Coturnix japonica: one gene and its partner. The main gene of each other region encodes a partner of the protein of the gene in region 2 in a complex. Links are inferred from orthologs where the notes say so. Each region holds a gene or a part of one and is shown on either strand. Other genes may lie near its edges. The genes, in order: B9D1 and TMEM237.

Region 1 (4,282 bases), on a different chromosome or scaffold from region 2:
GTGGGTGCCACGTCGCTCCTTGATGCGATCTGTGAGATTCCCTCCTCCAGGCCCTGCGGGGACACAGCGCCGTGAGCCCGGTGTGAGCTCGGTGTGAGCCCGGTGTGAGCCCGGTGTGAGCTCGGTGTGAGCGTTGTGCAGATCGGTGTGACCCGATGTGAGCTCGTGTGAGCCGGTGTGAGTCGGTTGAGCCCGGTGTGAGCTCGGTGTGAGCTCGTGTGAGATGGTTGTGAGCCCGGGTGTGAGCTGGTGTGAGCCCGGTGTGGAGCCCGGTGTGAGCTCGGTGTGTGAGGCCCGTGTGAGCCGTGTGAGCGGTGTGCGCTCGGTGTGAGCCCGTGATGAGCCCGGTGTGAGCTCGGTGTGAGCTCGGTGTGAGCCCGGTGTGAGCTCGGTGTGAGCTCGGTGTGAGCCGGTGTGAGCTCGGTGTGAGCCCGGTGTGAGCTCGGTGTGAGCTCGGTGTGAGCCGGTGTCGAGCTCGGTGTGAGCCCGGTGTGAGCCGGTGTGAGCTTCGCTGTTGAGCCGGTGTGAGAAGGTGTGAGCTCGGTGTGAGCAGTCAGTTGTGAGCTGCGGTGGTGCACGCTCAGTGTGACTCCCGGTGTGAGCTTCGGTGGTGACCCGGTGGTGAGCAGGTGGAGCTAGGTGGTGAGCTCAGTGTGGAGCTCGGTTTGAGCTCGTGTCAGCCCGAGTGTGGAGCCGGTGTGAGCTCGGTGTGAGCCCGGTGTGAGCCCGGTGTGAGCTCGGTGTGAGCCCGGTGCTGCCGGGGGCACAAAACGAGGTCTCACCGCTGCGGGAACCCAGTCCTGGCCGTAGACGAAGCAGAACTTGCAGTAGAGGTCGTCGAACCCAGGGAACTGCAATGGAGAGGCTGTTAACGGGGCCGGGCCCGGCCCACACGGCACAGACCGGAGATGGGTTACGGGACCGAGGACCGAACAAGGCCTCACCTGCCCGCTCTCGATCTGCCCGTTGACGGCCACCATGAAGACGCTGGGGCTGCTGGCGGCCGCCATCTTGCCGGTGGCCGTTGCCATGAGGACGGACGGAGCGGCGGAAGGGACAAACTATGCGGGGAGGGGCCTCGGAGACCCCCCCCCCTCAAATTCGGGCGGCTCTTTCTAAAGAGCACGGGAAATGGCCGCTAGGTGATGCTGCAATGCAAGGAGATCGAGACAGGGCTGTCAGGGGGGAGAAAAGCTTCGGGTCGGGGGTCTCTGAGGCGCCCACCCCTCGTTATGTTGGGTAATTAATGGTGCTTTTCCAGAATCCCTCATTAAACCAACGGGAAGGAATAACTGCAATAATCCCCCCCTGGCTGCTGATTGCACAGAGCAGGCAGGTCCCTGGGGATGCTCACAAAGTCAAGCCAGGCTTCCAGTTTATACAGTTTAATACATGTGAAACAAGATACATTTCCTTTCGAGTAATGAATGCATAAACAACAGAAGATATACGTGGATGCATAAATATGAGGCGGCATGGAACGAACCAAAGGAGAACGGTTGCTTTAGTTCTTTCTGTTGGTTGGTTGATAGTTTTTCCCCTCCCCAATGTGTCTTTTTGCTGCTGGTGTTGCAGTGCTGGGGCTGATGATGCTCATGGTGTCAGTGCTCTGTGGTGAAGCTGATCCGAGCAGAGGGTCTGGCTGAGGAGTGGGGAAGGAGCAGGGAATAGAGGCTACGAATGGAAAATCAACCCCCAAAACTAAATAAATGTATATTAAAATATATTAAAACGGTGTTCACTTGAACTTAAAAGGCTCTGGAATGTGGTGGAGGAACGTCTATGTGGGTGTGGGTTCAGGTTGGATATTAGGAATAATTCCTCCTCTGAGATAGCGCTGATGCTGGCAGTGCTGCCCAGGGATGGGTTCACCACCCTGGGGGTGTTCAGAACAACAGGGGGACGTGGTTTGGTGTCACAGTGGGATGGGGTTGGGTTGGGGATCCGAGGGGCCTTTCCCAGCCTCACTGGAGCTGATTACCACTCTAAGAATGGAAGGGGTTATGGCCACCATTGCGACCTCACAGCCAGGAGGAGAACAGATCCCAGCCTGCTCACATGGACCGCCACCAACAGCTCTTTGCACCTCGACGTACTGCACCAACAACCTACTTCAAACTGCAGGCAACAAAATACATGTCTTAAATAATTCACTATTTATTCTGTGAATCTCTTCAGATTGAAATTTTTCCCTTTTATTGTTTCGCCTCTGTTTGTTGTTTGTTTGTGCAATGTGGGACACCTCGTTTGTGCGCGGTACTTCAGATTATTGCAGCGTTTAACCTGAATTTCTGTTAAAAAAGGAGGAAGAAAAAGAAAACGAGCGAAAGGATCATTGTACAGACGAGAAGAATGAATAACTTATTATTGCACTGGCTACAATTCAGTAGTGATTTGGTTCCTTGCTGTTGGTTAGGACACAACCTCTAAAGTACAAAGGGAAAATGAAAGGGGCGGCGGAAGGAGGAGCTGTGGGCTGATGGTGGCGGTATAGGGGGGAAAGGAGAGCAAAGGAAGAGCAGAAACATTTGGACAATGAAGGGCTGTAAGAATCAGTTCCACATAAAACCCAAAGAAACACCACCCGGTCGCGGAGTCACACGTAATGCAAAAAACCAGTATTGTTTCTCTATAAAAATATGTGCATTATGAAGAAGAAGAAGAAGTTTTTTGTGAGTATTTTTTCTTGTTTTTTTTTTTTTTCTTTTTTTTTCTATTTTTTTTTTCTCTTTTCTCCTCGTTTTGTATCTCACAAGTACATCGTTTCTATGTATATAATTGCTGATATACAGACAACGTACAGCTCCCATTCCCCAGGGCGCTCCCACGGCGTGTGACGTCTCTAAAAGTGCCTTGTAAAAAGTTGAGCATCTTTAAAAACAAAACAACAACAACAAAACAACAACAACAAAAAGAGCCCCCTTACCCCCCACCCCAACGACAAAGAGAACCCTCAGCCCCCATCCGCCTCCACCCGGATCAATGTGACCGAGGGCGCAGAGGACTGAGAGCCACCCCCCCCCCGACCACATCCACTTTGCCCCCTCTGAACCCCCACCCTGAAACCCGGCACCGTTTCATCCGTTTGTTTGGTTTCTTCTTAAATAATAATAATAATAATTAATAATAATAATATTTTTCTTCTTTTTTCTTTTTTTTTTAATGTTTTTTGTTTTTGTTTTTGTTTTTTTGCAAACCTCCACAGCGCTTAAGAAGAAGGGACTGCTTGAAAGGGAAAAACCAGAGTGTGGCCACGCGGCCGCGCAGCCCCTTCGGTGTCCAACCCCATGTCGGTGTCAAGCCCTTGAGACCCCCCGCACCCCCCTCCCAGACAGCTATACGGGCTCGTCGATGTCTTCTTCTGTCGCAACAGTCACCAAGTCCTGCATCCGGACGGGGCTCTTGGCCACGCTGAGCAGCTCTTTGCTTTTCTCACTGTTGCTCCGTTGAGTTTTTAAAGGCTCCGGCTTTCTCAGTTCGCAGTCCGGTGTGGATCGCCCACTGTCCAGCAGATCCGAGAGGCTGCTCAGGGAGCCGCCATCCGACTGCTCGAAGGAGAAGCCGGGGATGGCCAAGTGCTGTGCACGGCGCTCTGCTTTGCAGCCCGGCTCCCCTGGCTGCGCCTCCGCTGGCTCCAGGGGCTCTCGATATGCTGGGAACTCGCAGGATGGGGTCCTGCGGCGCAGCATGCTGTTCTCAGAGGGTTTGGTGCGTGAGGCCGCCCCGCCATCATCCTCCATGGGAGGATCTATAGAAATACAGGGCGGGCTCATCTTCTTCTTCCTCCTGGCTCCATGGATGTACTCGGACTCCGGTTGGATGTGGGCAGGGGAGCGCGGCTTTTCCTCGGTGCGCTCCTCGAAGCCACAGTCCCCATCGCGGACGGAGGGGCAGATCTCGATGGAGTGTCGCCTTTGGTCATCCGCCCAGCTGGGCTTGGTGAGGAAGCCCTTTGTATCAATGCTGTAAAACTTCTTCAAGTCCCTCTCCTTGCCGCTGCCTGCCACCAGGCTGCTTGTGCTGCAATTCTTCAGGGGCACCGGCGATGTGGCCGGCGAGACGAATGGTGATGTGGAGCAGCTCCCAGCCTCCGAGTGCTCCCCCCAGTCTTTGGCTGAGCTGTTAATGTGGCGAACCTCCTCGTCAGCCAAGTCGGAGGGCTCCAGGAGGCAGCCCTGGGGGGTTGGGGGGCTCTCGGTGGGACTGGGGACCCCGCGCTGGCTGCAGGGGTGTTTCTGAGTCAGTGATGGGTGCCGGTGTGGGGAGGTTGGTGGGGAGCGTG
Region 2 (3,888 bases):
TTGGCTCGGCCTCTTCCTGTCGAGACTCCAGCGCCGATTGCCCGGAGGAGGAATGACAGGCGGTACTTAATGGCCGCCCCGCCTCCCTCAGGCACAGCCAAGATGGCGGCCGTGTGGTTGCACCGGCCGTTAGGCGGGAAGGGGGATGATGGCGGGCCGCTGTCAGGCTGCGTCCCACAGGGCATCCACGGAACTGCGCTGCACTACATCGCTGAATCATGGCGCTGGGAGGGCCCCTGAAACGCCTTGTGGTCCAACACCCTGCAATGAACAGGGACATACGCCAGATGAAGGTGCTTGCAGCCCCGTGCAGTCTGACCTTGAGCGTCTCCAGGGACGCGGCAGCTGTGCTACCTGTGCCACTGCCTCACTGCCATCATTATAAACACTCCTTCCTTAAGTCCAGCCTAAGCAGCCGGAATGCTCCTGAAGCAATCCAGACCTCAGAAAGCACAGAGCAGTGAGCATACTCGCTGGTTACTGGGGTTTTACAGAGCTATTTCTGAGTGCAGAAGGCCAGAACAGTGGCAGGAGCCTGCTGGTGGAAAGAAAAGACAGCCATTACTTACAGCAGTAATGGAAACACACACAGAAAGCAATGTTTTCCCACAGCATCTGCTCAGAGTTTGTATACAGTAACAAAGTTAGCACTGAGGAAAAAACAAGTTAGACTGTTTTATTTTAAACAAACTAAACAATCGGAAACAGTTCAAAGTAGTACAAGCTAATATTCATTCAGACCACTTCCTCACCTGTTTCAGATACTTAAAAATTGGCACTAACTTCTCTGCAAATTTTTCTTGGACACAAAATACTGTATCAAAAACCATTGTAAATGCACAAAGACATTTCAATTAAGGCTTCTACATATGCCACATGTTCTGCAATTAAACATCTATTCTGTAAACTTTAAGATGTTCTAAAATTACACACACACACACATACAAAAAGCAGTTAAATTCCATTGTGATGCTTAATGGAATGAAAACTACCTTGTAAAAGAGGTAATAAGCCATGAAATTGTTTATCTGTGATTTTGAATGGCAATCCTCAAACCTCTTTCATTCATTTAGGTTTATATATTCTGGTGCTCAAAAAAAAGGTACAAACTAGGAAGGCAAGTATGGCTTGAACTACTGATTCCATTAAGTCCAAAAACTTCATCACTGCTCAACCATGTAAGCCAACTATTTTCACAATGAGAGCAAATCTGGTTCCTGGCTGGCACTGCTTCATTTGTGGGATACTTAGAAGGCCAGTTCCTAGGAATAATTTCAGAAATGAAATCAAGCAGTGATGTCCTTCATGTTTATATTGACTGAATGCCTTTGCACGGTTGTGTTTAACCTCTGTACCTTATGAGAGAAGTTATACTTTTTATCACATGCCAAGATGACAGAAGCATGAAATGGCAAATACAATCCATTAATAATCTCATATTCAGGAGCTCAGCAATTCTGTAAACCAAACACACGACACTCAAAGAAACTGTGATGTGCATTTCCTGCTTTGCAAGGAAATTCCTGTGTGGAAACCTATGTGGGAACACTACGTCGTGGCCTGAGCTCCCATCTCCTACAGCAAATCACAAGGACCTCTGATGTAACACTGATGGAGAGTAGCATCCTGAATCTCTTTGTTATAATGTACAATGCAGCACCAGCTGTAATTGAGCTCCACAGTTTTACAAGAACACATACACATCATAACAACCGACTAAAAAGTTAAAGAGTTCCTTCCCACAACCAAGTGGATGCCCTAAAGTAGAACCAGCAGCTATGGAAAATCTTTCAAGTCCAGAATAACTTCTTTTCCCCCTCTCTAGAATTATGTAATTACTTACTTTCTAGAATTACTGAAATTTGTTAAATAAGCACACTAGAACCCTTGACAAGGCAGAAGCTGCCCTAGTTATTCATGTTCCCATTCTTGTTTTAAACCAACTTAGGCAGCAGTACAGAAACTTACTACCTCTTTAACATCTCCCTTTCACTCTTCCATCTGGCTAAACTCTCCATCACTTTTATAACACATTAACCTCCAGGGATCTTTGACACTGCACTCCTGTTAAAACCACCTTCAGATATATTAAATAAAATAATGCAAAACTCAGTACATACTAAATAAAACGTAAAACTAGTCCTGTGTGATACCTGCATGAGAAATGGATTTCAGACTAGCTCTTGCCTATGTCTGCTAAGGAGACTGCAAGACGTCTGCATTTACTTACTTAAACTGCTTTCTTCCTATGATTTGTTTTCATCTCTATGGAATATCTTAGAAAAAGGATATACCTCAACTGCTATCAGTATCAGTAACAAAACATAGATTGATGATGACAATATCGCACTGCTGTCAAAAAAGCACTGAATAGCAGATCTTCAGCACTCACCCATTTCCTCTGGCTGTGTAGGTAGCAATGTTTACAAAAGTGAACATTGACTTTATGTACTAAAGATAATCTCCTTTACAAAACAAAAAGGAGATATATAAAAGATTTCAGACATTTGAATATTTAAAAATTGGCATACATAAAAGACCCATGAAATATATACAATATAAAAATACTTTTTTTTTTTTTTTCCTTTATGAAAGTTATAATACATGGTTAAAATACAGAAAGTGTTGAGCCATCAGTTACAGCTACGAGGTGCATGTTCCGCACTATGGCTGGACCCTGGGTATGATAACTCCCTGGGGAAATTCCTCAATTTCAGTATGAAACATCAGTTCTGAAAGAAAGAGAAAAGGACACTGGTTTTATCGAACAAGTTTCACCTAAATACTATTTCATTATACCAAAAAAGATCTCTGGAATTTCCCCAAGCCTCCTGCTTTTCTTCGTAGCCCTTGTTTCAGTAATGGGAACACTCACCACTGTCTTTAGTAAAACTATAGTTGTTCCCCTAGGTTAACACAACTAGCACTGACATTAGCAGCTGCTTATAGGAAGTAGACTTCAGCCTGGACACTTGAATTTGTATTTTAAAGTAGACTGATGGGTTGTTCCAGTTTTGAATGTGTCAGAACCAAGACTGAAGATTTCCATTTAGAGACCTGATAATTTGCTGTCTGCCAACAATTTGCGGCAAAATTACACAATCTGTATGTGCAGCACTGTTTTTTTTTCCACTCAAGTTGGAAATCACACACTTCTTTTTGTTTTGCCATTCCATTATAATTTCTTTACTACTTGGGATAAATCCAAACAGAAATTTTCTCTTGAAATTGCTAAAGCATATTATGTAATTTTAGTTGACATCTGAAAATATCTAAAATCTCATCAAAACCTGGGCTATATCACACCTCTGTCTTCCTTGAATAAGCCTTTTACTACTTAAGAATGACTTGCAATTATAATTTAGACACCTACTGTAAGTTTTACTTTCAGTAATTGTAAAAGCTGCCAACTAATTATGTGTTTTAAGCTAAATGAGTTATTAGAATTAAGCAGGATAAACTGGTAGCAGCTGAAATATAGAAAGCTGTGAATTAACATTCTAGAGAAATCTGAAGAAGCACATTTAACCTTTGTCCTCCCAGACACAAATCTGTTCCTCATAACATTTCTCAGGACTACACTTGAGCACCCAATGCAGACCGCAGTAGATACAAGTCTGAACAAATAAGGTTTTGCCAGTTAACATTTCCTACCTTCACTGTGGTCCAGCTCTGGTCGGTAAGACAAGAAGATCCAACTTGCCCCAACCAGAATAGATACTACCAGATTCACCACAATCCATGGCTGAATAATTTCTTCCTCCATACCTGCAGTCCTGGGAAAAGCACATCAACCAATTAGTCAGGGTACACACCAGTATGCACATATTTACAGTAATAGCTTCAGCAGAATATCATAAAAAAAACAAAAATCTTGCTAAGTCAGAT

The links.
Region 1: TMEM237 (region 2) and B9D1 share a complex: the UniProt entries of both Homo sapiens proteins name them as parts of the tectonic-like complex. The link is inferred for Coturnix japonica from reciprocal best matches to the Homo sapiens genes TMEM237 and B9D1.

Annotation. Positions count from the first base shown.
Region 1 is NC_029529.1:5,249,503-5,253,784, forward strand, and holds the start of B9D1 (B9 domain-containing protein 1), read right to left. Parts: upstream 2,973-4,282; 5' UTR 1,032-2,972; coding exon 945-1,031; intron 852-944; coding exon 783-851; intron 54-782; coding exon 1-53. Other genes in the region: CACNA1H (voltage-dependent T-type calcium channel subunit alpha-1H), read right to left, coding at 3,336-4,282. UniProt on the Homo sapiens protein: Component of the tectonic-like complex, a complex localized at the transition zone of primary cilia and acting as a barrier that prevents diffusion of transmembrane proteins between the cilia and plasma membranes.
Region 2 is NC_029522.1:9,987,972-9,991,859, forward strand, and holds the end of TMEM237 (transmembrane protein 237), read right to left. Parts: intron 3,777-3,888; coding exon 3,655-3,776; intron 2,733-3,654; coding exon 2,665-2,732; 3' UTR 657-2,664; downstream 1-656. UniProt on the Homo sapiens protein: Component of the transition zone in primary cilia. Required for ciliogenesis.